Linked DNA regions of Lepisosteus oculatus. The protein of the gene in region 2 binds, or shares a complex with, the protein of the main gene of each other region. Links are inferred from orthologs where the notes say so. Each region holds a gene or a part of one and is shown on either strand. Other genes may lie near its edges.

The links.
Region 1: the proteins of ncoa5 (region 2) and estrogen receptor beta are in contact, whole or in part, in a crystal structure (PDB 4ZI1), measured with the Homo sapiens proteins. The link is inferred for Lepisosteus oculatus from reciprocal best matches to the Homo sapiens genes NCOA5 and ESR2. Residues at the interface, in NP_066018.1 of Homo sapiens: Ser344, Leu345, Ile346, Leu348, Leu349, Ala350, Asp351; in NP_001428.1 of Homo sapiens: Ile310, Lys314, Phe319, Leu324, Gln327, Val328, Leu331, Glu332, Leu490, Glu493, Met494.

What each region holds. Positions count from the first base shown.
Region 1 is NC_090703.1:7,977,439-7,992,468, forward strand, and holds the start of estrogen receptor beta, read right to left. Parts: upstream 6,725-15,030; 5' UTR 6,417-6,724; intron 2,325-6,416; exon of another isoform or gene 2,060-2,324; intron 1-2,059. Other genes in the region: coiled-coil domain-containing protein 170-like, read right to left, coding at 10,430-10,714, 11,085-11,309, 11,722-11,964, 12,134-12,307, 13,630-13,830.
Region 2 is NC_090711.1:2,262,945-2,278,429, reverse strand, and holds the start of ncoa5 (nuclear receptor coactivator 5), read left to right. Parts: upstream 1-7,771; 5' UTR 7,772-8,043; intron 8,044-8,069; exon of another isoform or gene 8,070-8,601; intron 8,602-11,870; 5' UTR 11,871-11,983; coding exon 11,984-12,146; intron 12,147-15,485. Other genes in the region: ctsa (lysosomal protective protein), read right to left, coding at 649-804, 1,544-1,630, 2,290-2,340, 2,575-2,686, 3,596-3,761, 4,716-4,788; neurl2 (neuralized-like protein 2), read left to right, coding at 5,274-5,967, 6,337-6,452. UniProt on the Homo sapiens protein: Nuclear receptor coregulator that can have both coactivator and corepressor functions.

The DNA.
Region 1 (15,030 bases), on a different chromosome or scaffold from region 2:
GTCAGAAATAATTATATTCAATTTACTCTGGGTTCCATTAAAATTCTGCTTCACTTTACAATGCACATTGCCTCCATATGGGGACAGTCAGGATCAACTGTCTGAGCGGGTGTTGGAAAGCATCATGTATGATTCTGCTGCTTGACTGATTTTCTGCAGTGTGGCACCATACCGAAGAAAGCCATACACCTGCTTTCCTGATCACAACCTCCATGGAACAGTGATCTCCAAGGTCAGCTTGAACCTGAGCTTTCACCTGGATATCATCACAATCATGGGAAAAAGGCTGTTCTATTTAGACAAGCAAATCCATTGAGACCAAGACAAAGCCACTGCCTTCAAGAATTCTGCTTTCCGATCCATGTGGTCTAAGGAGTCTGTGACTTCTCTACTGTTGGCTCAGCCCCTTTCCTGGCTTAAAGGCCATGTGCTGTATCTTGGCACCCTCAGTCAGTCTGAGTAGGGAGACCGTAAGCAGGAAATATTAATGCAGAGCACAATACTCTGGAATTGCAGTGCAGCTTCTCTGCCAATACAGGCAAGCTTTAACATTTTTTTTTTAACTGACATTACAAGAAAAAAGTTAGGAAACGCGGTGGTTAGGATAAGTGCCTCACAGATTCAGGTTTCTGAGTTCAATTCTAGCTCAGAGAACCTGTTTGTGTGGAGCTTGCTGTTCTCCCTGTGTTCACTCCAGGTGCTCTAGTTTCTCTAACTTATTCCGTTTGGGGTTGGGTGAAAGAGTTCCAGTGTGATTTTAACACTTGGTGGCGGGTAATTGGTGTTACTTCCAGTACAACTCATGTTGTCTATGGGATGACACAGAAATAAATACCAACATGCTCTGTGGAGCGAAATGTCTCCTGTCATTGTGCCATTTATCTAAATGACTTGAATGTGCATGTCTGAAACAGTAGGAAGGGACAACACAATAAATAGTTAGAGCACAAAAATGTGTAATTGTAAAAATGAATGTTATACACACTGTATAAATACCAAGAAAACGGACCAGTGAAAATAAAAGAATAAACATACAGTAATGGCTGAAAATCTATTTTGTTTTCCCAATGGGAAAGCCCTGATGCACTGGCAAATTAAAATAATTGTCTTTTTCTTTAGACTAGCTTGATGACACCTTGCAGTTTTAAACTGAAATCCAGGGTAGTCTAATCAAAGGATCAGAATCTCTTACAGTTCTCACATCCGTGAAGCCTTTCCATTAAACTACCATCAACTGAATAGAACTCTATTAAATGTCGCAACCTTGTCACCCTGGTGTTGGGGCTGCCTTCTCAGAGTTGGGTCCACAGGTCTATTGACCTGAGGCGTGAGCTCGGATCAGGATGGCTCTAATTACATACCAGACTGCCAAGGTCCATAGTCTGTCTGGGCTCTGCCTGTGTATAACAGAGTGCAAGAAGTTTATCTTTGCGATCACAAGCAAAACCACAACCTTAAGGCATTATCCAAGAACAGCGGGTGGACAAAACATAGACTGGAGCCTTTAGCTCTTCGACCTCTACCACTCGTCATCACGTTTAGGAGAAATTGCTCTTTATAGACGACTGTATTCCGTGAACACAATGCAGAACTGCGAACCCCTGCAAAATACAGCCCGCATTGTGACCTTTCAGATCAGTCATTTTAATAGTACACCTTCTTAATTTTAGCCTCTCAAATTTTACTCATGCCTTTTTGAGTGTTTTTTTCCCAAGGATTAAGTTTAGAATGGTTTTAATTAAATGTCTTAAGTATGTTAGCTCAAGATCTTAAATACATAGTGGCATCAAAACACTGTATTCTCAGAGAATGGAGTTCTTACTCCACATAACCTTTAAAGACAAAGAGAGCTGTGCTATAAATACAATAGGTCACGTAAGTTAGTTTTCCATTGGCTTATAATTTTAAACTACACTCTCACATACAGTTTTAAGATAAAGTACAGGTAAAAAACATGAATGAGGCTCTTTAGGATTTACTTGTAGATGTAAAGATGCTGAAAGAACTGGAACATTAAGATTTTGCACTAAAAGCAATAGTTCCACAATAGAGCACTTACGTTTCCGTGTTGAACCCAACTGAACTTCATTCCAAGCGTTAGCTTTCCTGCTGCTCTTGAGAAAAAGAAAGAAAAAGCAGGGAGTGGAGGAAACATGCCCGACTGCCCTGTTCTTTGGACAGAGGGAGCATGTGTTGGGCTTTTTGAATGCAGACTCTGGCAGCCTTCCACAGAAACCTGCCCCAGTAATGCCAGCTACACTGCACGGGTTGAAGGCCCGTGCCAAGTCTGTTAATCAGACAACACGGTTTAAACGTTTGTGTTCTTAAAAGGAACAACATGCATTTGAAGCGTTTAGTTTGTGGTGCTGCAGTAAATTATCCCTGAAATAATAATGACAACTTATTACTCAATGTAAGCCTTCCCATGGTGATTTTTTTGCAAAACCCAGTGATGTTTGCTTGACACAGATTCATCAGTGTTTTTTATTAATGTATGGACTTTAACTCCATATTATCTGAAAGGAGTGCATATAAATATTTGATTAGCGGGCTCATCATCAAAAAAAACAAACCCAGTAAAAATCACCTCCCTTCTGATTGTTTTCACTATAGCCGAGACAATAAAACCCTGCATTATTATATACAAGAGACTTAGGCTGTTTTTCCTTCAATTATCAATTTATGGGAGGATCTGTTTGTTCAGAGCTTCTTGAAGAGACCAGTTTCTCCAGCAAACCATGCTGCCATCTAGCTACCTTTTAAAATAGTGGTCACACAACCATATAAACACCTGACAACAGGCCAGGTATCCTAGGAGGGAAATCAATGCTTAGTTTTTAGCTGCGAAGTAAGTGAACAGGGATATGGGAAAACTGACGTGGAAAAAATGTGACTTCTTGGAATACGTTTCAGTATTCCGCATACGTTTCATACTCATATAAGGCACATGTCTCCTGCAACTACGCTGAGAAATTTTACTCCTCATCAGAGCTGATACATCTGGAATAAGGATTTACTACCAGTACTAAAGGGTGTGAATACATGACCAGGGCTAACCTTCAAAATGCAGCTACGCAATGTTGAAAAATCTTTTCACAGTTAATCAGTGTTTAAAGGACTTTGTTTTCAAAACTGTGGTTATGAGCGCTTAACTCTATCAGTGTTGTATGGCACTGTGCTTGTGCTTCTGTAACTGAGAATCAAAATCATCAACCTTTAAACCGATGGAGGATTGCACTGTTAGAGGAACCTTGTGTCCACTGTTTTTTTTGTCTAGCTGAGCTTTACACCTCAAATGCAAATTCTTGATTTCATTAAGCTTCTTGCTTGTTTACATTTTTATTTAACTTGTTCCTTCAGTCAGTCTGACACGCCCACAGGCAGGAATGACACAGTATCTGACACGCCCACAGGTAGGAATAACACTGTATCAGATGTGCCCATATGTGGGAATGGCACTGTATCAGACACACCCACATGTCAGAATGAGACAGCATCTGTCACGCCACAATGAGCATTTTCTCCCGCAGAGGTTCTTTTTGTGATATTTCAAGCAACATCCCTGAATGTACTGTAGGGCAGTCCCTGCAACTCAGAAATGGGAACATGGTTGATTTCAGTTCCAAATCCGATTTGACCTTTAATTTCAGAAAGCAGACTCCTGTAATTCTCATTAACCTGTGACTAAGAATATGGACTGGAGCAAAAACCAGAAGACAAAGTGTTCATCCAGAACCAGGGTGGGGAACCACAGTTCTAATTTATGTGAGATGCTCAGGAGGAGGTGTAGAGTATTCAGATTATGAGACTTGTGTGTTTTCAGTCCCTCTCCCAGAAACCTGTTTCAGCCTCTAACACTCCAATGCCTATATCGGATCTGATGAAAAGAGAAATGGTAACGATAATAAATCATTCTCATAAGCCCCAACAGTTGATCTGCTGACCAGTGTCATTTTTATGATTCTGATAGAGTACGTCTACTAAATAACCCACGTATTGGTGTAAGTTGTTGGAACTTCGTTTTGGTTTCATTACCTGTAGCTGTGGATTATGAAGACACAATGCAGTTCTTGTGAATGATGTCCTTGATCAATTAGACACAAAAAAATACTCACACAGACGAAACATTCAAAAAAAGAACAGAAACAATACATAAAGTGTATACCCCTGGGTCATATTTTCCCCAAAACCATTGTTTCCCCGTCTTCATAAACTGAAATAATAATGAAAAAGTGAAACTTTGCCTGTAGATAGTTATCTTCACAAAACATGGGTGAGAGGAAAAGACAAGGACCTTCCAATTTAAACAAATTCGGGCATCCCGGGAGCCTGCAAGTGATATTACAGTACATATCACCCATCTGCACCACGCTTTCACAGGAAACTGCTCAGGACACGCAGAGGTACGCCGTATGAAAACCAAACGTCTCCAAAACCGCATTAATTTGTTCTTAATATTTCAAAAACTGCAAACTCCATGTCCAGAACCATTTCCACACCTTTTGTAATTCACTGAATCCATGAGCTTCTAAAAGGTAGTGCGCTGCAAAGCAGGAAAGCTGTAATAAACCAATAATTTCGGACAAGTCCAGTGTCGAGTGTCGAGTGTTTTGTGCTTTTGAAGAAAAAAAACACTCGGAAATGAAAGCTGTTTTCCCTACCAAATCAATTTGTTACAAGTTACAGAATTAAACGGTTCCATTTTTTTACGAAGACCTTTTTTTACTCTACGCCTTATTTTACTCTACTCAAACAGCAAGACATTCTAGGAAATGAAACCAAGGTTTAAGCAGCACTGGAAACTCACTGCTCTTTGTGAGCGAAACATTGAAGACTGTTTCACAGCGCCCGCTAAAATGAGCACACTTCACGGCGAGAATTATTTCTTTCGGAACCGGAAAAGTTAAACTTTGTTGTGGCAAATAACTAAAATGTAAAAATAAATATTCGCCGACATACTAAATGTTCAGGAACCAGGCACTGTTACATACCACTGACTCAAGGGGAGGCACTGGGAATGCAGAGGCATTCAGAAATAACAGGTTGTCCAGATGAATTATCATAAAACCTGTATTCCAACCGATAAAGGTGTAGGACTCACTGATCCGTGGTATTGTACACATTACTGTGCAGCTGGCTGTTACACCTCGCAGTAAACATGTATCTTTGATTTAAAGCAACTGAGCATAAAACGTGTATGGCCCAGATCTAAAAAAATAATAATCTGCAACTTTTAAACTGCTGCTTTAAGAAAGAGAAAAAAGAGCTAAACGTAACATAGAGTTAGCATTACGAATTGGTTAATTAAAAAGAGAGGGTAACAATGCTGTCAAAGCAGTGCCGTAACACTCTAAATAGAAACACGATAAGTGTTTCTTTAAAAAAGCAGAGAAAGCGACCACAACGACTAAAACAGTGTACTAATAAACTCCTGTACGAAATAAGCGGTTCAGTTGTAAAAACAGTTAGGGGGAATGACAGAAATGGGCGATTTCCTGTTTCTTTTGACTACCCGGAGTGTAGAGTTTTTACATAAATTAAAAAGAAATCTGCTCTCAACCCTTTCGTGCGGTCTCCGGGTTGAACATCTTGCCATGTTCTAACAGCCCAGTCAGAAACAGCAACAACTTTACAGTTCAGCCTCAGAAGAGACTGGGCTGAAAACGGATAGCCCTTGGTGGTGAACTGCTACTTAGTCGCGTGTGCAACGTCATTACCAATCGATAACGGAAAAACCTCGTACAGTTACAAGAACATTAAAGTTTTTACTACTTCGCTACTGCAGGAGGAATCGGCAAGGAGGTTTCGTTAATATAAATAACGGTTTGTTCTGCCACACTGATCGTGAACGTCATTTATAAAGCTGTTTTATTTCCTACTTACAGGGCAACACATGTTTCATTTTCTTAAATCGCAAGGAATATCACATAAGATACACATAATATAAGATAAGATATGAACAAAAATGAGAACGCACACGAGTCAGTAACCCACTGCACTGGTTACAGGATTTGTTTGCTCCAACTAAGCATATCCAAAGCTAAAAGAAACGAGAAAAGTTCAATTTTGTGATATTGTGAATCGTAGCAGGAAAACCACCCTACAGTATTTCTTCATGTGAATCGCAGTCGGCAGCCCTAAAAGATACAGTATATGGTTGAATTGCGCATAGGTGTAAACCATTTATATTTCTCTCATTTATATTACGGCTTTTCTTTTTTTTTTTTAAAGTACAATTGAAATGCAATTCAACGAGAACTTCCCTTGCCATGTTTGCCGGTGTTAAAAATGCTGGTACCGACTGAACTCTGTCTGAAATACTAAGTAAACACAACCGTAGTACGAGTCCATTGAAAACTGACAAACGGCGATTAATCAATCTCTGTGCGTGACGGAGATGCAGCCAGCGAACATACCTGCCTTCTCGCACACCTGAAGGAACGGCCACTGTACTGTGGTATATTCCCTTCAGCAGGAGGATGAAACAGTACACAACTACTGTATCTTCTTGAGCAACAGCAGGTCCCGCTCTCCCGTGTCCAGCTGTACAGCGTAGTAAAACAAAAAGTATATCAGCCGCTAACTGGCACTACTACCTAGGACCGGTAAGACGGGAGAGCGCTGAGAGGATTCTCACGGCGTGTCTCACTCAGAGCTGCGCGGCTCAGGCTGCGCGCAGTCTCCCTCTCTCTCCGAGATGCTCAAACAGCCCTTTTTGCTTGTAACTCTGCTGCTTTCTGTAATACTTCATTCACTTAAGAGACGGCCGCTGCCGTCACGGTCTCCCACACCCTCCAAAACCCGCCCTCTACATCCCTTGAACTTGCGACCTTTTTTGCAACGAGGAATGGGACGCATATTCCGCTTTGCTCTTAATAGAAAGCTGTTTGTGTTCAGTCTGAGGTCTAAACCACGCGACAGCGCAAAGGGGGCTCAAAGAATATGTAGCAAAAAGAATATGTTCAGAGTTGGCACTAATAAATAGACAGCCACATTATGTAAATAACCATATACAGTAGATGACTTATAGTTTTAAATAGAAATGTCCCAATTCTCTACAGAGTTCCTATAGAACTGGACCGATATCTATAAAAGCCTTTCTTTTATTTTTGAAAGAGATACAATGTTAATGGAGTGACTGATCTGCCTTGTGCAGATGGCCAAGTTCTCATCACTTGTTTGGAGAAAAGTAGCAATGCTCTTCGCAATAGTAACTCCCTCCTGACACTCCAGACAGTCGAAGGAGATGCCTTCATGTGACCAGCTAGAAGATATTCTTCCTCAACATTAAAAAAAACAACTTTTCCAGCGATCCTCAGACCAGCCAAAGCAGTGAACACCAGCGACTTTTCACATACTGTACTGTAACTGAACTGTTTGGAGGGTCTGTTATATTCCCTTGTGCTCACGGTCCTTGTGGATACAAATATAAAAATACCCTAGTACAAGAATGTCTTCAATTATTATGTTTTATCCACAATTCCAAGCTCTATGAGAATGCACTATGCATTTCAGATTGTTACAAGTATAGAAAAAAACAGTAGAAGGAAAATACTGTCTCTCCAGGATATCCATCTGTTTTCTGACATCGTCTTCCAATTCAGAGTCTAAGGGGAGCCAGGGCCTATTTAAGCAAGCAACGGGTGCAAGGCAGGGTACACCCTGGATGGGACGCCAGTCCCTCTCAGGGCACACAGAGACACACACCCATTAATCTACAGGCATGTCCTTGGACTGTGGGAGGAAACCCACATGAACACAGGCAGAAAATACAATCTCCAGCCAGGGCCCATGCAAACCACTGTGCCACCAGTCGCCCAACCCGTGAGTCTTTAGAATAAATATGTTGCATTGCTTAGAAAAAAGGAAAGCTAGCTCGTTCACAGAGAGACAGTGGATTTTAAATCACAACAAGATTATTAAATTACTTTAGGAATGATAGTGTCTGTCTGATATAGGGTACAGTTATTTTTGGTCAAAGCCATTTGTTGGTACAGTTGTCTTCCAAAAGATGGCAGCACTCTGTTCTCTCTCTCTCTCTGAAACATTAAATAAAAACCTGCTCCCCAGAAAGGCTAGAAGGTAAATTCTTCTTTCCCGGAAAACAGGAAAGAAGTAAATGTTTCATTAATTCTATTTTTTTTTTGGTTTTGCTTTGTTATTTTCTGATCAGCAATTTTTGGAGTAATCTCGGGTTCAGGAAGAAGCTTTGGCTCTTGAGCTTCTCTCCAAGGGCAGAATTAGATTTCCTGGGGGATAAGTGGTCTCCTGGGTGTTTAGTTCAGAGAGAGGCTGCTTTTAGTGGCTGATACCTGCATATGAAATGAATGTCTTTTTTGGCTCTTAAAGTTGAACATGTGGAAGTGGTAGGGACTTAGAAAATATATAAGATTTAGGTTAGGCTCTGCACATGATGCTCGTTATAAATGCCTAGCAGTTCCCACAAAGTAGAAAATGAAAAACAAAACATTAATATAAGACAACAGTCTGAAGTTTGTCTGAAAATATTAATGATTTTCAGGGATCAATTCCTAGTGGGTTATTCAATGTATTAATGCTGGGTTAATCTAATATACTGTAGGTTTTAATAAGTTTAAAAATGGAATTTGCCACCCCTGGTTTAAAGAGTTCTCCTTTACCTTATATTTTAGCCATTCAAAACAAATAGAAAGAGAAACGAATCTGGGAGAAATACTCCCAGAAATACAGAAAAACACCCGGTAAGAACTATATAACAACTGGCTTTAATGAAATATGTTGCCAGAATTCAAGGAGAACACCACATGAAGATGAATGAAATGATCCAGGTAATTTGACTGAAGCTCTTAGAATACATAGACTTGTTGGAAACATCTGGAACTCCGAAAAGAAGGAATCCAGTGGATCCTGGGACTCGGAACCCGTTTGCTAACCTGAAACTGTTTGGGTGGTTTGGGAGCCATGCCCAGGAGAACTGTGAGCTCTGAGAGGAGGATTCCCTCTTCACTCTTTGCTTTATTCTTCTGGTGTTTTACTGATGGACTTGGCTCTTTATCGGCTGTATATTTACAGCCCATGTAGCCCGATGAAGTGTGAAAGAACTGCATTGTTTCGTCTCAGGCCCCCTCTGTTAGAGGTCTGGCAAGACAATATTCTTGATAAATGTCCTACATTTCTATTAGCCAAGTTTAGGGGGATCTTAGCAGGGAACCCAATATTCCCTGTTTATTTGTAAGGTATATTTTAACAGCCGGACAACAAAAATGACAGACACATACAGTATAAACACATGGAATGTAATACTGTAAGCATAAATGTGGTGTGACCCATGAAGGGATGCCAATCTTTCCAGAATTGCTGTGAGTAACATCAGACACAGGTTAGTCAATTTTTAGGGATTATTTTGTGTTTTGTCTCCATCACAGTACTTAATGCTGGAAGAATGAAACTAAGTATTTCAATATCAGTCATTTCGTTGGACAGATGGGGTCCCACTTTGAAAATATTATGACATCTCCATTTTTTTTTATTTTATTCAGAAATTGAACAAGTATTTCAACCTGGGTTAACTGGAATTGTATTTTTGTGAACCTAGCTGTGCAGTACAATGGCAAAAGAAAGTAACAGTCTGTTCTTAGTTCCACATTCACTTCTGTTCCCATTCAGTTTAATTCAGACAAGAAATAATTTATCTTTCAGGTAAGTAATTTGTTCCATAAATTACGCATTTTGCCTTAATCATTGAAGATACAGAACCAAAAAGCAAATTGAATTCCATTTGCTATCTGCAATGCGGTGTGTCTTTCATTACATCATGTGCAGGTTGAAACGGAGGATTCTGCCCTAATCATTTCTGAATTACAGGCTTCTGCCACACTGTATCTACAATTTCAATAATCGCAGCCTGTGGAGGAGAATGTGAAGAGTATCTGGACATTTGTAAAGGCAGGCATCTATCTCAGAAGTAATTCACCACTTTCACCATTTTCCTTTATAAACAACAATGGTTTGCAATATTGCAGCAGGAGTTTTGTGATCAAAGGAGGAAGAGATTTATCATTACCAGCAATATGCTTATAGATATGACTGGGACTATTAGTATACTGATCTTAAATGTAAATCATTTTTTTAAAGATACAGTAGACACCTTCACTCAGATCTATTCGCTTTAAATGTTGCATTCGTTGTCACTCTTTATTTAAGGGTGAAAATACACACCAGCTAAAATTAGACATACTTCTTAGTGACCTGCAGTTGCATTAGAATCACACTGAAGCTAAATGGATGGGTAATAAAAATGTTAGTCTCTGTGCATCTGTAATGCATTTGTTGGACAAGTGTTTGATGCCAGCCATTCTTCTGTAGTCTGTCCATCTGAGTGATTGAAATGAGGGCTGAACTGTACTTTTGCACATCCAGAACGAGGGAGGTGTCGTTCTGTGCTTTGTATTCACCACTCGCTCGCTGGAAGCGCAGCTTTGGCAGAGATGACGTGCTGGACTGTGGCGCTGGGGTTGGGGGCCAGGCCCGGTGCCTTCGGCTGAGCCCTGCCAGGTGTGGGGTCGCTCGGGGCTGTCCCTCCTGGAGGCCTGTCTCTCCTCACCTGGCCCCCGTCGCCCCCTTGTGAGTCTCGCAGACGCCTCTCCAGCTGAGCCAGAATGTCGCTCTCCTGCGCGACCATGGTGTTGACATTCAGACCCAGCAGCTTCAAGATGCATTCTTTAAAATCCACCAGCTGTGGGTTTTTTTAGAAAAGACAGTGTCTAGGTTTCAGTCATTAACTACCCTGGTTCAGTTTTAGGCAGCATTGAAATGCTAAAATATGAACACAAGAGTGCAATTTCCATGATTTTATTTACTTCAATACTTTTAGAATATAGAACCTCTGCCAAATCATATACTGTATACTGTAGTGTGAAGGTTTAGCCTTTTTAGTCAATCATCATGGTGTCTGCAATTCATACACTGAATAAACCAAACCGTCCATTCCTGAACTTCATTTTATGTAAATGTTATGTGGCAAAAGAAGTGAAAACATAATTCCAGATGTCTGTCTGTACTGGTGTAAAGGCAGCTGAGCGTTTCTTTTGTGGCTTGTGTCTCACCTCTCTCTCTCTCCTGGCCACCTCACGCAGGGCTCTCTTCGTCATTCGGAGCTCATTGGACATGGCCTGCAGTGTGGTCTGAGCCCTCTGCCTCTCCTCGCTCTCCTGCTGCAGGTCTTCTCTTACGCACGCCACCGTCTCCTCTGCCAGCTCTTTCAATCTCCTACTCTCCGATAGCGACTTTTTCAGCCCCTCGATGTTTCTGGTCTTTTCGTCCTTCTTCACCTATGTGAGAGAACGCTGTCGGTTGACCACATGAACCAAGAGTGTCCTTTTGTCACAAAAACAAAACTGAGACAGAAAAGACACTACTACCTATACAGTATGTCAGGTATGCACAGGTTATAAAGTCTGCTCTATCGATTTGCTGTTACACAAAGCAGTATTCACAATTCACCTTTAACAGTGCATTCCTTCTCTATATTCACTGCACACAATACAACTTTAGAGTTATGCAGTAGGAATATAGTGGATAGGAACTGATAAGATTTGTTCGGATTAGTAGTGGATAGTACTGAATAGATTTTTGCACCTGATAATTTGTAGAGAAGATTTGTGTTTCAAGACCCTGCAGTTCAAAGTAATAACACACTGATGTGTCAGTTGCTCAGTTCCTGTAACTCGTTTGCTAAGTCACCTGGAGAAGCCTGGCCTCAGCGAGCTGTGCCTGCAGGCTGCGGTTGGTGCTCTCTAAGTCACTCAGCTGCCCCTGCAGCATCACTATGTTCCTCTCCAGCTGCAGGACAGTCTCTCTGCTCCCCATCTTCTCTCTCAGGAGCAGGGCAGACAGGTCCTTCTCTTCTTCCCTCAGCTTCAGCTTCTGCTGGAGGCTCTCGATCTCTGCCTTCTTTCTGTCCAGCTTCTCTTTCTGAGAAGAAACCTGGTATGGATACAGTGTGAAACTCACAAAGGGGTGGGAAAGGCTCAGAAAGCCTTTTATACCCTGATTAGGTCTCCTTTCATTAACCAACACATGTGCCAACCCATTTGTAAAATACAGTGCTATTGGACATGTTTTTTTGACATATGTTCAGGGTGAGGACGCCCACCTTGTGCTGTAGGGTATGGATGAGCTCCCTGCAGTCACTGATGGACTGGCTGCCCAAACTGGACAGCCGCTCTGCGCGGGACAGCAGTACGTTGTACTGAGTCTGCAGGGGCTTGCCAGAGATCTCCTCCTCCACATTCAGCTTCTGCGCCATCTCATTCACAAACATTATGTGCTGCAAAGGGACACAAGCCTTTATTACAACAGTTAGGAAAGTGGAAAGCACAGGTAACTCCTTTGTCCCTTGGGGACTAATATCTATCCAAATAGACACTTTTACCAAATACATAAATACAAATGTGCTTTCTTAAAAAATCCATCTTTACAGTCCTTTACAAAAACACACAAATAGCTCAATAATCAAATGCTTAATTTCTTCATGAAACTACCATAGTTTCTGAGATTATTCAGAAATGATGTATCACAGATTTTCTAGAAGTTAAACACAAAGCGGTATATTTAATAACTGCAAGTGATTTGTTGTGCTGTCTGCTGGAAAACGGAAAGAGACGATGGAGGAATTTCAGCACTTGAGGGTTTCAGAACCAAGCAGCCAAATCACATCGCACCAGATTTATTGCATAGTACAGTGGAATGGAGGCCAAATAAAAGAAGCAGAAAATATTTAAATAATGCCCAATAAACCTCACAAAAAGGCACAAACTGTCTCACGTAGTTGCCCACTAATACTGTAACTATTGACCATTCACCAACCCAATTTATGTTTTCCAATATTCCCTGTTTTTCAGTGCCGACAACAGACATGATTCCAGTGTCCCTGGTGTCTTGAAAGGCCAGGGACTATCCGGAAGAGCAGAGAGGACAAACCTACAGTAGCTACAATACATCTTTTCCCAACTAGCATCAAGCCTGCTGTATCGTGGGATATGAGTATCACCATGTGGTTGACTGGTGGAGTCAGCTGCCATCAATCCGCTGTTGAATCAGCAACACCACGATTTCTTTTTGGTCTCCCTTTCTACTTCTCATTTGCAATAAAACACAGACAAGGTGCATAAACAATTCATCTTTATGTGTAGCATTAATAGAATGCATGAATCTGTGGATGGCATGACATTTCAACTGTGTAATACTGTACATCTGAGGATAGATCAACAGAAGGAGGAACACTCTACAACGGGGCTATAAGCTGACAAAGAGCTCATTTGGAGCTCCTTTTAAGAGATTACGAGGGAAAAAAAGAACAGAAACCCAATTCATTTCATGGTTTCACCTAGTGATATCGAGGTGATGTTATTGTTATTCTCAGTTGATCAAGACTTCCATCACCCTTCTACTATCTACAATAATGGCAACGTAGTCCGAAAATTCAGAGAGCTGGAGAGCAAAGATATCACAATATCTTACAAAACGTAGAATACAGAAAAGGAAGATGGGTACTTTAACAAGACGATACCTTTCCCCATTAGACATGCACATCTTAAGAGGTAACTGTAAAATCCTTTCTAACGTAATCCCAAGGTCCCGGACTTTCACCTTTTGCTTCTCGAAGGAAAGGCCGTCGTTCAGCATGCTTTTCGCCGCCAGGCTCCCCTCCACGTGGCGCAGCGTGTCGCGGTGCTGGCGCAGGAGCTCCTGCGTGCTCTGGCTGTGGCTCACGCTCTGCTGGTAGAGCTCGCAGTGCTGCCCCAGCTGCCGGCTCATGCCCTGCAGCCTGCGCTCGTACTCCTCCTCCCTCTGGGCACCGGACGACAAGACAGCCAGTCCGGCTGGGATTACCACGCGCGCTTTACGAGCTCCACTCCGACGGGAGGAAACAGGCTCAATAGAAAAGCAGAACAGTGATTGACTCCGCAAATAATTTGTTTCAAATTAATAGCCTAATTAAATTACTGCTGTATAATCCTGCAATGCTCCTTTTTGATTGCGTGCTTGTTTTTTTTCATCCCTTTAATGAACATTATATACTGTACCACATAGGCTAATACATATTATACTCCAAGGAACCATTATGTACTCTTAATTGTATATGCTTTTGTACTGTACATGTTTTTCCATAGTCAAAATAGATGCTGACACATTATTTTTCTTCTTTAATGCACTAAAGCTATCTAAAGTAGGGCAATTGATTGATTCCCTCCACTGTTCTTAAGAGGTAGGCAGATGAAGCTCTAGGAGCTGTGCATAGCTGAGCATTTCCTTCTCAAAGTCATCTGAACAAGCCTCTTTGTTCCACTCCTCATTGCAGCAGTGATGCGAAACACCTGAGAAGGACACCAGCCAGGTAGTGGAATCAGAGCTGGAAGCTGAGCTACACAGGCTGGAGGCGAGACGCAGCTCTGAGTTGAGCAACTTTCGAGCTGTACTGCTGCTTTAAAGGAAACCTTGGATGATATTTATGACCGTACTGTACTTCACATTCTGTGTCGGTACATTTCGTGATAGGGAGTATCTGTCCAGCTATGAAGCGCAATTAAACATTCCAGAAATGAGTTGTATTTATCCATTTGACCTTTAGCATTGCAGTGGCACAAATCATTTCATTTGGAATCATTGGAAGGTACTCCTTACGTATTTTTCAAGTAAGTCATTATCTCAAAAAAAAACGAATGAAATGAAAGACTTTGACTCTTCCAAACTAACATTTTTTTTACAGCTGGTACTGTAATGTAGAGCTCTATTTACCAGGAAGCTCATATTTCTCAAGGTCTACGTGATTTACTAATAGTTTGGCTTCAGTGGAGCTCATTTTAGTTTGTTGTTGCTCATCTATTTTCTGTGCTGCACTTCTCCCTCCTGTTCTCACTCATGTTCTAATTTCTGTGTTGAGAGTAAGCTAGTTTAGAGTTTTACACAAGGATAAAATCTGTCGGTTTAGGAGCTGGGGGTTAACCTTTTTCTATGGGCTTTATGCCACACTTTAAAGTGAGCGTGTGC
Region 2 (15,485 bases):
TACGCTGCCTGAGGGACTGTTCCCAATACCTAGGTCTTTGTCCATCCGCCCCCCTGAGTTTTGGGAGGACACGCCCCCAGTGGCTGGACACGCCTCCAAAGTTGAGAGGACACGCCCCCAGTGGGTGGACACGCCTCCAAAGTTGAGAGGACACGCCTCCAGTGGGTGGACACGCCTCCTGGTTGAGAGGACATGCCCCCGGTGGGTGGACACGCCCTGATATTTGAGAGAAGACGCCCCCTGGGATTTGAGAGGACACACACACCCCAATGGGTGGACATGCCCCCAGAGTTTTGAAAGGACACGTCCCCCCACCCCCGAGTTCTGATAGGACATGCCCCCATTGGGAGGACACATCCCCAGGGTTTTGAGAGGACAAGCCCCGAGTGGGATGACACGCCCCTATATTTTGAGAGAGCACTCCCCCAGTGGGTGGATACGCCCATGGGCAGGAGCACACAGGGGTTTCCTGAGAGTTCTCTCGGGCTGGCGGTCCATAGAAAGTTGGGTATAAACAAAACTGGCAGCTCAAAATTTCAGAGTAATAACGACATAAATAAAACTGAAAAGTACAAAGAACATTAACAGTGTGTATAATATGCAGGTTCAAACAATCACAACTTTGGGGGGTCTCTGCCCATCAGCCACCTGCAGGTTAATGCTGCTGTCCTCCATCACCCTCTCGGCCAGCGTAGGCACGTAGATCCCGCCGTAGCTCTCTCCCGTGATGAAGAACTGGTTCTTGCTGTACTCTGGGAAGAGGTGGAAAAACTCCTTCAGGGCCAGGTAGTTGTTGAGGGAGACCTGCGGAGAGGAGCGGACAGCCATCTGAGCTCACGGTGCCGATCGGGACTGACAACGCGCCTCGGCTGCAACGGCATCTCCATCAGGACCTACTGAGGCACGTGCGTGCGCCTCTCCGCCCATCAGTGTCGATCGCTGGATCGACGCCCAGCTACTGCATAAGCGTAAAGGAACAGGCAGCGGTATATTCCACTCTTAAAAAACAAAGATGAAAAAACAAAACGTGAGCCACAGCTGAAGCAATTTTTTTTTAACGTTCTTGCCTCCTTTCAATTTTAAACAAGCAAAATATATATTCCAATCACTCGCTGCAGAATGAATTACAGTCCGTGCTAGCAGGGTATTCGTTAAAACCTCAGACTGGGGCTAAACGTGTCTGCAAAGGAACGGGTAAAGGTTGATTCCATGCTGAACGGTACCCATACCTGTTCCTTTGCAGCCTATGTATTCTGACAGCTCCCTAGGCGAGCTCCTCTAAACAGGTCCGCTCCAGCAGTGCCTGTTCTAGAGCCCACACACCTCCCAGCTTCTTCTTCCCACTCCACGGTGCCTGTGGGGCTGGAGAGCCGACGCATCTCCCCTCTCGAACCTCGGCATGTTTGCGGACGGAGCAAAAAAACACCCGAGCGGTCAAGCTCTCGGTGTCCGGTCTGTGTCCGCAGCAGGACGTGTGCAAAACCCCACGGCGCTGGGAAACGGCGGCGCCAGGACACGGGCTCCGTCCCCCCCGCTGACTCACCTCCGTGTCGTTGGTGACGTAGTCCTTGTCATCCGAGTAGGAGAAGCCCACCCCTGCTGGAGACTCCAGGTACAGCATGTTGGCTATCTGCGGACGACAGGCACGCCCGTGAACTCCCAGGTCCCACACCCTTCCCTCTGGAAATCTTCCACGCCCCACATCTCAAAAAGCTGTTTAATTTTTCATCTCAGATTGTCTTTCCATGAATCATTCATTTGAACGCACTTCTGACTCGCCATTTGCATGCCGCTCTGGGCACAGGGTGGTATTTCTCGGGGCGCAGACCCAGATGTGTCAGTCGCTCCTGTTGCTCAATATCAAGACCGCACAGTAGCTAGGATGTCAGCTGGCTCTCCGACAGCAGTCGGCGCTCGTGAGCTCGTGTGGACAGGTCTGCCAGGTGCTGGGAAAACGACGCGTAACTTTACTCCAGATGTAGCAGGTGAGGGAAGCTCACGGCTGTCCTCACGTTTGCTCATCTTTCAGACTATCGCAGGAAGGGCAATCCCTCGACCACTTGCTTTTTCACTTCGTTTTGACACAGAAAAAGAGGTGAATGTGAATGTATTTGTTAATTTGTTGACGTGTGTGACTTCTCCTATAAAAAAAAAAACTCTCAAGTAACGACTGTTCCACTTCCTCCTTTAATCGGGAAAGGAACCACAAAGCAGGGCGCCGGGATAATGCTCAGACCCGATCGGAAACCGGAACCGGTTTAGAAACCCGAGCAGAACCGGGGAGCGTACCGTGTTCCAGGAGTAGGGGTTGTACTTCAGAGAGGCGCCGTCATCTTGGATCTGCAGCAGGAACAGACGTGAATCACAAACAGGCCTTCATTCGCCCCCGCGCCCAGATCTTTCAACACGGCTGGCAGGGAGCGCTGCCCAAGGCCACACGCAGACCTGGCGAAGGAATCAGGCAGACCCCGCCGCCCACTGGATTTGGTTTTTCCCGGGAACCTCCCCAGAACGCGGGAAAACGTGCGCGCCCTCCCGGATCTTTCCCAGGGCCGTGCGGGCAGGCGCTCTTACCAGGAACGGCCCGTGCTCGGTGAGCAGCCCATCCAGGGAGCTGCACCCCGGTCCCCCGTTCAGCCACAGAACCACGGGGCTGCCAGCCGGGTCCTTCTGGGACTCCAGAAACCTGCAGGAGAGGGGCAGGGGCCGGGTCACGACATTCCCTGGCGACAAGACAGCAGAGAGCTCGGACAGGGAGGAAAGCGAGAAGTAGCACACAGGCGGGACAGGCGATATGCAAAGACAGGCTCTCTTTTCGAGAGGGTATGAGACGCTGCAGCACAGGGAGGGGCACACACTCAGCTTTAAGGGCCCAAGTCCATTCTGTGAGCCGGATTATTGTGTTCTGAAATAGCAACTCTCTCTTTACCAGCATCGGATTGTTCCTGTCTTGTTACTGGAAAGGTAGGTAGCACCTTCTGATGGCATTCAGAGCAGTGATGCCTGTGAAGTCGAGCCGAACAGAAGGCCCTCTCACGCAGGAGTCTCAGGAAAAAGGGAAGTGGGATTGGAAGGAATACAGAGCAAGCGGTTTCAATTCCTGCTCCAGACACCGCATGGCCTGGGGCCCCCGAGCTGCAGCTGCGCACCCTGCAGCAGGTCTGTGAATGTTTATTCCCATGAGCTCAGCTCACCTCATGCTGCACAACACAGGAGGCACAGAACCCACCTGGCAGCAGAGGGCTGATTGCCGGTGTACGTCTGAGCAACTGCTCCTGACCTTCATGGAATTAACCTGACGTGTCCATGTGGGCTCGCTGGCATGGCCAGCAATGGACAGGCACCCTGTGCTTCCAGATCCCTGGGGTCCTAACCAGGAATGAGGGGGTTCCCGATCCCGGGAGAATCCCGTGACGCGCCCTGGGAACTACTGGAAACTGAGGGCCCCCTCACCTGGGCCGCCTGACTTCTCCTGGAAACCAAGTCACCAGCTCCAGGGATCCCCCCTGGGAATTTCCCACGCTCGCTTCCCAGAATCAGCAGGGAGCAGGAAGGGCAGTGAGCTGGAAAGATCAGGGGTTGGGACCACACTCACCAGTAGTGCAGGTGCTTACTGCCGGACACGTTCAGGTAGCCAGAGTACTGCCTGAAGCCGGGCTGCTTCTCCAGGCCCGGGAGGTACTTGATCTCGTCCGCGTCCGGAGCCCCCTGGACCCTCAGCACTCCCAGCAGCAGCAGCGGCAGCAGCGCTCGGTCCATCCCTGAGCGGCACAGGGACAGAGGGGGGCGTTACAGACACACACACACACACACCGCCTGCCCCAGGGATACTGCCCGGCCCTGTCTGGAAGGGAAGTGTCTCAAGACGGCTCCATAGCCTCAACATTGCGTTTCTTTTCTTCTCCTTCCAGCGGGGAAGAAACCTTAACTTTCCAGCCCACGCGTGCTGACGCAGCTGCCTACTTGGACTACTAAAGAGAATGAGCTCCTGTAGCCCGTGGGAGACCAGGCGCGTCCTGCGTGTCCTCATAACGTGTCCGCTTCTGCGCCTTGCCTGGTTTCGCCTTCCCTGTGTGTTTTTTTTTTTTTAAAAGCCCATCGCAATGTCTTTCAATCACGGAAACCAGCGCTATTCGTGGGGGAACCCCCCAGAAATACAGGACAAGGCGGCAGGGGAGCCGGGCAGTCACGCAGAGCTCCTGGAGCAGGGGAAAGGGCAGAGCTCGTTTTTCACTGCCCCTCTGTCAGGCATCAGTCTGAATGTCGTGTGTTGAAAAGTTACAACAACAACAACACAAAAGATCTGTCGCGGCACCCGACCGAAACATCTAAACGTTTCTAAAAAAAAAAACAAGACCTCCTGAATGCCGATTACACGAACAGAAACGAAACTAATAACTACACATCCGTGCACCAACCCCCGCCGCATATTTCTTTCGAGGGCGGTATCTTGAAGCGGCTGCCCAAATTAATTCACAATAAACGACAACGATTTTCACCTCTCCGGGAAGCAGACCGGTATGGAAAGTTCTGCGATTTAAAAACAGTCCCCTCTGTGTGGGGACAACAGAAACACAGTGACGTCCTCCAAAGATGCCACGAAACTTAGCGACTGGCTGAAATACACTCGTACATTTAACACAAGCTGGAAGCCGTCGCTTTCTAAGCGCTGTAACCGAGTACATCACTGTAAACGACAATGATTTCAGCTTTACCTTTTTGTGCTAGTCCGGCTCCTTCCTGAATGCGCTCTGACCGTCGAGCGCCTGACTTGGGGGGTGAGATCATGTGACCCGGCTGATAAGGGACGTCACATGACTGGGGCGTCAGGTGACGAGGGGGGGCGATCAGGATCACGTGACTTCGGGCAGCTCGGTAGCCGTCTGGACGGACGGGGAGCGGAAATGCGTGGAAACGGGATGTTTTCCTGGGGTCGGGGAGGTGTCCTGCGAGGTTGTCCCTGTAGTATTAAAATCCGTGGGTCAAGCACCCCGGCTCTATCCCTGTGTCTTGTGCACGGGGCCTGGGAAGTCCTCCAGCGTTCAGGGAGTCCTGTTATCACTGCCCTCTCCCGGGCCTTTTATGGAGACCTCAAGTCCGCCCCCCCTCCCCCAGTCTCCTCTGTCCCCCACAGCACTCTGCCACCTGTCAGACAGCTGCAGTGACGACGCACAGAGCCCTGCGGCAGGCCTGAAATAGCCAGAGACCCGCTTGAGGCCTGCCGGAGAGGACGCAGTCGGGCCGGCGCTGAGCTGGCGGGAGAGCAGGCCCAGATGGAGGGCTTCGCCGGGCGCTTCCTGGAGTTCCACCCCGTCCACGGCGCCAACGTCCGCCTGGATCAGGCGGGCACCCGGGCCACGCGGGTGGAGAGCTTCGCCGACGGGCTGTGCTTCAGCAGGCGGCCCCTGGCCCCTGGCGAGATCTTCCTGGTGGAGATCGAGGACAAGGAGCTGGGCTGGTGCGGACACCTGAGGGTGGGGCTGACGGCGCACGACCCCGGCGGCCTGGCCGCGGTGCCCGAGTACTCCCTGCCGGACCTGGTGGGCATGGGCGACAGCTGGGTGTTCGCCATCACCCGGAACCACAACAGGGTGGTCGAGGGAGAGGGAGAGGGAGAGGCAGAGGGGGGCAGCTCCCCCAAGAGCTTCTTCACCGACACCCACCTCCACATCGGGGGCGCGCGCATCCCCCGGGACAAGCTGGTGGGCCGCAGCCGCCCGGGCCGGTTCAGCCACATCCTGGACGACCTGTACAAGACCAACACGCTGCCCCCCACGGCCCGCCGGAGCCGCATCGGGGTGCTGTTCGTGCCCAGCGGGCGGGGCGCCGCTGACATGCACATCGTCATCAACGGGGAGGACATGGGCGCCAGCGCCAGGGGCATCCCCGCCCAGCGGCCCCTGTTCGCGGTGGTCGACGTCTTCGCCGCCACCAAGAGCGTGCGCGTGGTGCAGGTGGAGTACGGCTGTGAGTGTGGCCCGCGCGCTCTGTCTGGGGGGGCGTCCAGCAGGCCCAACCGCCTCTCGGTGAATGTCAGCAGGCTTAACCTCCCCACCTTTTTGAAAGCCCCAGAGAATGAAAAAGTGCAAATTAGTCGGTTGGTTTTCATTTGGTTATGCAAAGGACCTGCATGTTTACAAGTCCTGAGTTTTCCTGGTTAGTTTAGCATCTCTGCGACCTGATGTCTCCTCCCCTTTCACGGTGAAATGAGCAAAGACAGGGTTTGCTACAGCTTGCAGAGGCCTGCATGAAACGAGGCCCCTGCAGCAGCGAAGCCAAATCACAGCCTTTCCTGTTGGGTTTTTCTCCCTCTCACTCTCCTGTCTCTCGTCTCAGTCCCCTCTCTGCAGACCCTGTGCCGCCAGACCATTCAGAAGCACATCGTCCACAGGATGGCCCTGGACTGGCTGGAGCTCCCTGAACTCCTCAAGCACTACTGCAAGTACGAGTGACGGAGTCGGGGCGCCAGGGAACGCAGCCGGGGCTGTGCAGAAGGAGGGGCCCCCAAACCCGTGCGACAGCAAGCTCTCGTGTCCCCACTGAGCAGCCAGCAGATACCCCTCTTCCGTTACCCTGGGCGGCCCTCACACAGACAGTAGGGTGCGATCAGAGGAGCCGGTGACAGTCGCTTGGGAAGCATGTTCCTCTCGGGAGGACACGGGCCTTGATTACGGGAATCCTCCCGGAATGGCTTGGGGAAGCTTTATTCCGGAGTTGTCAGCCGTGCTCAGAGTAGGGGGTTTTTGACATTTTTGCCCTGCCCTGCACAGGACCGCCGTTTCTGAAATCATGCTCATGGAGGGTCTTCGTTTTGAACATAAAATCCCAGTCAGCTTCTGCTAATTAATTTATAATGATAGAAATATGGAGAGCTCCCGGTCAGCAGAGCAGACCCCCTGTGTGGAAGAATTGGACTGTTCTGTTCTGTTTCCGGACACTCGGGAACCAGAACCATCATTCAAGCCTGCAGTAAGCTCAACAGCCCACATGTCTTGTTTTGTCTGTCTGCTTTTTAGTGTGGAATTAACCTCAGCTCGTGCCTTATTGCAGCCTTTTCTAGTTGTGCACGAGTCCTGAATGGTATCATAACACTTGGATTTTAAAAGTACTCGGTCTGCGCTGTTGTGGTGACAAGTTTCACATTGTAAGCTTTCAACTGAATCACAACCAAGGAGTCAAGCATCAACAGGTCTGTTTCAAACTGGTTACTTTTGGCAGGAGCACCACATTAAACAATTCTACCTGTATTATCTGTAATAATTTGATACTGTGAAGTACCATGGCCTTCTCTATTGTGTTATTACCTCAGATAATTACGTCTGTCATTGGACTCTGTGTGACACTGAATATTATCAGCAAATGAACTGGGCTAAAGCATTGTTTCTCTATATCACCTGGAGATACTCATCATGATAAAGGCTTTATACGGGGTTTGTTATTAAATTCCACCGTTTAATTTGGTTTGCACAACAAAATAAAGGCATCTACACCATATTTTAATAATGCATTATTATCCATCAGAAAAATCCCTTCTGGCCATGAAAAAATAGCAGGCAAAACTGTTTAACCATTATTTTAATAACCTTAGCTTGTATTCATGTACCCTACAATAATAAATCATTTTGAAAATAGGTTTAAACGCGTTCTTCATTTAATTAAGAAGCACAGCAGTTAAGTTTTTGGTAATTCGGTTACGACAGTTATCAATAAAGTTATTCTCACTCTTTCTACGGACAGACATATTTACAATATCATAATAATGATAAATTCGTATGCTTTGTTGTGTATTTAGGAGCTATAGCCTTCACGCAGAACTGACCCTGCTCAACGTTGCCAAGAGACTGTCTTACGCTACATAGCAACGGCGCGGCGCTAGCGTAAAGCAGGTTGAAACTGTAGTAAATAAGCAAACTGAAAGAAGTGTACTCGCGCTGTAGAGGGAAGCGTTAGGAGATGAGAAGTAGGTCTTTGGTCCGTTTTTGAACATTAATACTACCAAAAACCCAGGGGGAAACGGGCGAATTTACAATTTACGGATTAAAGGTAAGAGCTTATTCTATTAATATGGTTTTTTGAAGCGGCCGGGCTGGTTCATTTGTCTTGTTTCCTTTTAAACCAAAAGTGAAACAGCCGGAACTTTAATATCCAATTTTTTGTAAAAAAAAAAAGATCTCGGGAGGCCATTTCCCTCTTCCCCGTGTAATTTCTGATTTCAGCATCTCATAACTTGACTAGTTCATTCCCCTCGCGTCGCGGCTGGAGGGTCTCGTTGTTCATATTTCTGGCGTCGCCGCCGACGACATTTTAAATGATGAAACCGTTGTTGACGCGTTATTTTATTTATTTAATCCCCCCCCCCAACACCCTTCCCCTATTTCTACGCGAGTCTTTCGGTCTCTGGGGTGAAGCGGGCCACCGAGGCGTCAGGGGCGGGTTCGGGCCCTGTGAGGTGGGGTTGTTCCGCCGCCGGTGAACCCGAGCCCTGAGCCCGGCTCGGCTCTTCTCCGCTCAAAATGGCGGCGGCGGCTTGTCTGCTGGTCGGCTCGTGCGGGCGGGCGAGCGGGGGCGGCGGCGCGAGCGGCTGTCCGTGTGGTGCGCGAGGTGGTGGGGAGGGGGGCGCGCGCGCGCCCGAGAGGGTCCTGATCGTTTCAGAACCCGAGTTTGTTTTATTTCTTCTTTTTTTTTTAACACCTTTTGTTTTCGCGTCTTCGTCAAAGGAATGATGCGGTGTTGTTGTTTTTTTTTGAATGAATGACAGGGACAAGAGGGGTGTATATCTATCTATGTGTGTGTGTGTTGTGCGGGGAAGGACGTAGAGGGTGGTGGTGTTTTTTTTTTCCTCCTAAAATGGAAGTCGCGACCACGACGGCGTTTCTCCGAGAGACTGGGGGGCCTCTTGTTGGCTTCGAGCCCCGGGCAGCGCGTCTTCGGCCGGGGCCTGGACGCGGGTGGTGCAGCCGCGGTTGTTTCCTGGGTGGCGGCCGAGCTTGGCGGCTGCCAGGGCGGGCTGGGGCTGCCCGCCTGCTCGCTCTCTCCCTCCCTCCCTCCGTGCGTCTCCGAGTCCGAGAAAAACAGGGATGAAAATGTTTTTTTTTTTCCCCGTTCTCTCAGCACTCAAAAGGTTTGTTTCTGTCGCGGCGCTTTTCCTCAAGACGGGAGTCTTCCCGGAGGTTTGCAGCCCGGCCGGTGTCGCTAGGGCTGTCGTGGAGAAGCGCCGTGTTGTTGCTTTTTTTTCCCCCGGCGGCACAGTCTCTGCGACCAACAAATAAGCGAATCTTCAGCTGTGAACCGGGCCTGACGCCTTCCCAGTTCAGCCCAGTCAGCAGCCCGTCGGCTTCATGTGTTGGCTTGTGTCAGTCACCGGAATAACGAAGTATAAGCCCGTTTTCTTTTCTGAGGACTCTCGGATCTGTTCCTTCGAAGCTGTGGTGTGTTTTTAAGTAACACGGTTCTTCTGCGGTGCCGAGATGATGTTTGGGGGTTTGGGGAGGCGGTGTGATCCGCGCTGGCCTTGCAGGTGTCGGAAGGGCTGCCGGAGAGTGCTGGTCCGATCTGACCTGTGTGTTAGTCTTGAGGGGGACCGACCTGACCGGACCTGGGCTTTTTGGTTGGGTTTTATCCAGGGTCATTAGGCAGGTATGTGTAACTAGTGTACGAAAAACCGCCATGATTAAGTGAAAGAAAACAATTACCAGAATTAAAAAATCAAGACAAATTCAAATAGTTATTTATTTTAACACGCACCGTTTACAATCCACAATGCCTGGCCTGCAGAAATTAACGCCCTGAAAGCCATGTGTCCCTCTCAAGAATACAACTCACCTGCATTGCATAGCCAACCTTGCAGGGTAACAGCAGTCCTGTAAGTCTGGTGAAGACATGCTGCTTGTTGACAGCATGGCAGTGTACAGGGAGAAACAACACAATGAAATTCCGCCTGTGCTCATTTAGGAGCTCATTTAGAAAAGACATAAACGAAAACCCTCGATTTTGTGGCAGAATACAGAACATTCTAGATCTAGGTGTTTTGTCAACAGGCAGGTTATACCTTTCCCACTTTTAATGCATACCCACTGATTTCATCTTGTGGATATCCAGGCAGGTGTGAAAAGTATGTAAGAAAATGTAGTTTCTCTGCCGTGCGGCTAAGAAGATCTAATAAGTCGCATGTGAATAAATAAGGTTTGTGACTGGAGCAAGACAGCGTGGACAGGTGGTGGGTGTCCGTCTGGTGCCCCTAGTGTGGTGTGAGCTGTAGCCACGCATGTCTGGAAGAGCCTGGCTCTACAGCCCAAGCATGCACGAGGAAATGGTTGTTACTGAAGGGGCTTTATCTGAACATTGTTCCTCAAATCTGTTGGCAAAAGCTGACAAAGCCCCCTGTTTCTACAGCGTGATCAGGAGTGGATATTGGAGGAAAGTGTTGTCAACCACTTAAACCCCCTAAACCACTTTAAAAAAAAATGCTTTAAATTTGACCGGGGAGCTGTACCGAGCAAGGAGGGGTTCGTTTTTTCAGTGTGGAATTAAAATATAAAATATAATTGCACGCTCATAACAAAATCAATCTGGAAGGAGAAATGCAGGGTGTTGGGATTCAGTGTCCTGCAAAAGGGAAACGTTTGCGTTGTCTGAGTCACTTCAGTACCACGAACTGTGCTCAGTAGCACAAGCCCCGAGTTAGTCCCGGCACGAGATGTTGAAAGGTTATTCAGCTCTTTTATCTTTTATTCAGCATTCTGGATTGCATTTTTGCATGTTAAATTTCCCACGCTCCAGCTTTTGTTCGGAAGAGGATACAAGCTCATTCGGCATACTGAAGGAGACCCTGGAAATTATAGTTCTGTGCACGAAGCCGAAAACTGTCACGAATATGTTTTCTCATTCGACGGTGTTGTCTCCTGTGATACAAGATGTGTGTTGGACTGCCGGAATAAACATAAACAGTGGCTATCGGTTAATTTGATATCCTGTGTGTTTTCATTTCGATTTGCATTTCTCTCTTTTCCTGGTTATTTATGGCACAGAAATACATTTTTAAACCTCCCTCCTCCCCCATCTCCTTTGGTGTGTATGTGGACAATACCAAGTGTACCTCTTTCATATTGCTTTCATCTGTGCGAGGAGGAAATGGTCACTGCTGGATATCTTAAGCAATTTTGACGCTTTTATGAGTTTAGCAGAAGGCAAGACTGAAACTTAGTGGGTCTCTTTTTTTTTTTTTCTTTTTTCACGTTGAGGGGTAGAAATTGAGTTGCTCGGATCCGTCGTGGATTTTGGTTTAAATATTTGGAATAGACGTCCCTCCATTTTCCGTGATTTACAAACTGCGAGGAACGGTGCGTCATCTAATTGTGATGTTGAACATGAGTCCAATAAATAAAGATTATTTTTAATATCTTGCTTTCAAAATGTGGTTAATTCGCATCGGTTCACTGTCCTTTTTTTGCCATAATTCGTTTTCCTCGTTTCAGAGAAAAGTACCATCCATACCGTGGTTCTGTTTTCATTTTTGCCTGCTTTCCTTCGCCTTGTGACTTTGTGCTGCGTCCTTCGTCGTTTCCCATCACACCGTTGCGGCACGAGGTGGTGTGTATTTGATCTTGGCGACCGGGCCTGTAAGGTGGCGCTCCAACCGAGAGAACGAAACGGAACCGGGTGAATAAGATAGCGTTTCGTCCCGTGACCGGGTTCCGATCAAGCTCATATTTTCCTCATTCTCGTTCAAGGCGATTTTTCCCCAAAAAAATAAATTAAAAAAAAATTCTGTTGTTATCTCCTTTTGTCGTACTTGGTGGAGAGGCCTGACCTGTGGAATTTTATTCATTTTCTTTCTTCCTTTCCCGTTTTGGCACGCTGATATATTTTAGGACCTGGAGTAGTAGGCGAGTAATATAAGCGCGCGGGACGGGCACAAAAAAGCGGAGAGGCGGACAGGCCCGGCGCTCTGGTCAGCGGAGCGCGGTCGCGCCGGCGGGTAGAGATGTCTCGCAGACGGAGTCGCAGCGGGAGCCCCTCCCACCACACCACCAACAGCAATGACCCGCGGGACCTGGAGAGGAGAATTTTTGTGGGGAATTTGCCCACCACCCTCATGGACAGGAAGGACCTGGAAGACCTGTTCAGGCCCTACGGAAAGATCAACGGTTAGTAGTGTGACGCTACGGTGTCGTTGTATTTTTATTTTATTTTTCCTGTCCCGTCAAAAATCCCGTCTGAACGCGTCTCGGTGTTGTGCGGACCCGACCGCTGCGATGCGGCTTCACCTCGCCAGGCCTGTTGACCACACCCCCCACCCGTAGTGCTCATGAATGGGCCTGCCTTCCTCGGCCCAGCTTTCTAGTGTAAATGTAGATTAAGGGCCGGATACTAAACTTGTATCCTCTCCATCCCACACTTGCTGTAACAGGGCAGCCTGCAAAATATCTTGACTCCGTCAGTCCTAAAATTAAAATACTCATCTCAAATCTTATCATCCCAGACTTAAAAAAAAAAACGTTTTTTTTTTACTGTTTTAATTTAGTATGAACCTTTTAGGATTATAGATCACAAAAAAAGGTTATCTTGTAGCTTCCAGATTGAATCGCATTTTAACAGTGTTAGTTTTTCGTGAATGGTTTGCGAAGACTGATGAGTTAAAAAATAGAGCTAATGCACATTGTCCTACTAGAGACCCTTTCACCCAGTGCCTTGTTCTGCCAGCTGAAACAGCAGTGCTGATCCGGACACAGGAGACAGGCAAATAATTTTGAAGTTTTCCTTTCATTTTCCCACTTTATTTAATTTGTTTTGGAGTTTTGACCTCCACGGCCAACTTCAGACTTGAGAAGTATTTGTCCGTTTCCATGGAGGTGTCTTCAGTGTTGTTAGTCAGAGCAGCCCAAGAACTGTTGCTGTGAATGTAAGATCATCTCGATAAAAGGAGCAAGCAGACTGTGCAGAGCAGTCAAGCCGTTGGTCATAAGACCCAGTTGAGTTAAGGAAACAGGCTATCCAGATAATTCATTTTTTTTGTAAATATATATTTTTGTTTTCTGTTGTAGTCCACTAAGATTAAATAGATTTTGATGCAGTGTTCTGAGAAATATTGAGTCGATAAGTTTTTCAAAATCAGAGCTGACAGTGTCAAGGTTTTATTAATTATTCTGTTCTGTACCAGTTCCAGAGGGCAAAGGATGACTGTGACTGCGAGGAAAGTTCTGCAGCTGAATTGATGTAAACAGTATTTAAGTAAAAGAAATGCATTGCAAACATACAAATATCTGTCCCCTAGCAATTAAACCGAATGTGTGCAAGTAATCAAGAAATATCTGCTGGATTGCCATTTATCAGAAGCACATTGCTGCCATCAAAAAATGTTATTGTGACAGTTCTTGTAAACGCATGATAATCATCACGGAAATATAACTTTTTTTTTGTGAAGTGGTGTACTTCAGTCAGTTTTTTGTATGTGATTTATCATACTGTCAATGTGGAAAGTAAATGAACTTTGTATCTGAGGCTATTTCTTTTTTGTTAAGCTTACTGTGTTAAACTAACCCCATGTAGTCTTTAAGTTTAAAATTAATTCCATTTGTTGTTTGGTCATATGCAATAACAGGCTGGTGTGTGTGTTATACTGGTTGATCTCGCGTTCAGTCTGAAGATTGCCTTGTGTAGTCAACCGTAGGTCGGAAAGTAGCCATATATACCCTGCGTTACAGGGGCATTTTCACAAGCAAAATTTTACATGTTCTAGCTGAGTTTGTCATAAATATAAAGGCCTTTTCAACTTCAGAAGTCAGAATTTACAGTGTGGAGCTTGAAGTAAACATTGCTTGGTGTGTGAATAACTGGAGTAGAATCAAGATCACAAAATGGATGGACCATAACTGCAAGCAAAGCTGAAAGGTGTCCATAGTCAAAAGTAATGCAAAATGTGATCTTGCTTTGTGATCTGTATGAGGATGGATGAAAGAATGAGAATCTCAGCAAATTCCTTAATAAGGCATTTACTACCCTTTTGGCTAAGGTGAGCATTATTGAGTGAGCTGCTTATGTTTTGGACTAGATAAGTTTCAGTACTGTACTTCTGTGCTTCCTCTTGTGTGTTAAAAGTTGCAGATTTGAACCACAGGTACAAAAGTGTGGCAAAAACACACTGCTGGACTACTAATGTAGCAGAGCCCCTTATTCTCCTCTGTCCCCCTGAGAGAGAGTTGTCTTCCTTGTAGCCTGTTCCTGTCAGATCTGGGAAGCTGTTTAAAGCTGGGCCCCTCTTCAGTCCTGGACTGGGAGGCCTCTGAGGTAAACCAGGTTGCAGATGCACCGGGTGGACCAGTAGGTGGCGCAGTATTTTCAAAACAAAGCCAGGATGTGGTGACAGCTGTAGGCGGTACTGTCCTTCAGAGGAGCTGCAAAGCAAAGTTGTGCCTGCTTGGTTATTAAAGATATTAAACACCGTGGGAGTGTTCAGAACAGGACTGCTGCTGGTCCTGGCTGAATTCATGCAGGGTTTGTATAGGTTCTCCTCCCTCCGTTCCCCCTTAATTCCGTGGGTGAAGCAGTCTCTCATTTCTCCACCTGATCTGTGTCCTGGAGCAGCTGCCTTGTGTTCAGTGGGGGTGAAGTGGGTCCCCTTCTCTATGGGAACCATTTTGGGGTGCAAGAGATTATTTAATCCTAACCCCGCAAATGAAGATCCTCCTGAGGGAGAGCTGCAAGTTGTTGTAAGCAGAATAGGAAGCACTTTGTACACTAAATGAGACAAATCTCATTGGTTTTTATACGTGCTAAAACTATAGCTTTTTACAGAACTGAGCTTGCAGTATAGTTTAAATACACGTTCAGATTGTGGCAGAGATAAATTGCCTTTGCACAGACCAGCTTTCCTTTTTTAAAGCAGTTTGTACATCTTGCTTGTATGCCTCTGTTGTCTAATCAGGATAATCAAGGGAAAATCTGACTCGGATCAGGTGTCTCAAACATATTAAAGCAAAGAAACTCGCAGCAAAATGTACTGATACAGATTTTAAGACTTGGGTGCGAGAGAATCAGTTTCAGATTTATGTCTTAAAAGTATTTCAAGGTCTTATTAAATGCATCAATGCTTTTTAAATGCTTTTTCTAAAAGTGTGTGAGTTCTTTAACCCGAAATGGACAGGAATGACTTTTCTTTTTCCCCATAACATTGTAGTGTTTCAGCCAGCAGAGAGCACTCTGAAGGGTACATTGATGTGCCAGACCAGGCTCTCCCGTCTCTAGTCAGAACTGCTGCTGCTGGAACAAACCTCAAACTTTGAAAATGTTGAGAAAGCAAAGAAATGCTCTAGGAAAAGCGTCATGCTTGTGTAAAGACATTGGTTTTTATTAATATATTCCAGAATGAAAAGGTCAAAATTCTTTGCCTGTCACCTTGAGCCATGCTGGCAGACTTTGCACACTGTGTCCTTGTGGATAACTGGCATCATGCTGTAGGTGTGGGAATGTTTAAAAGAGAAAAACCG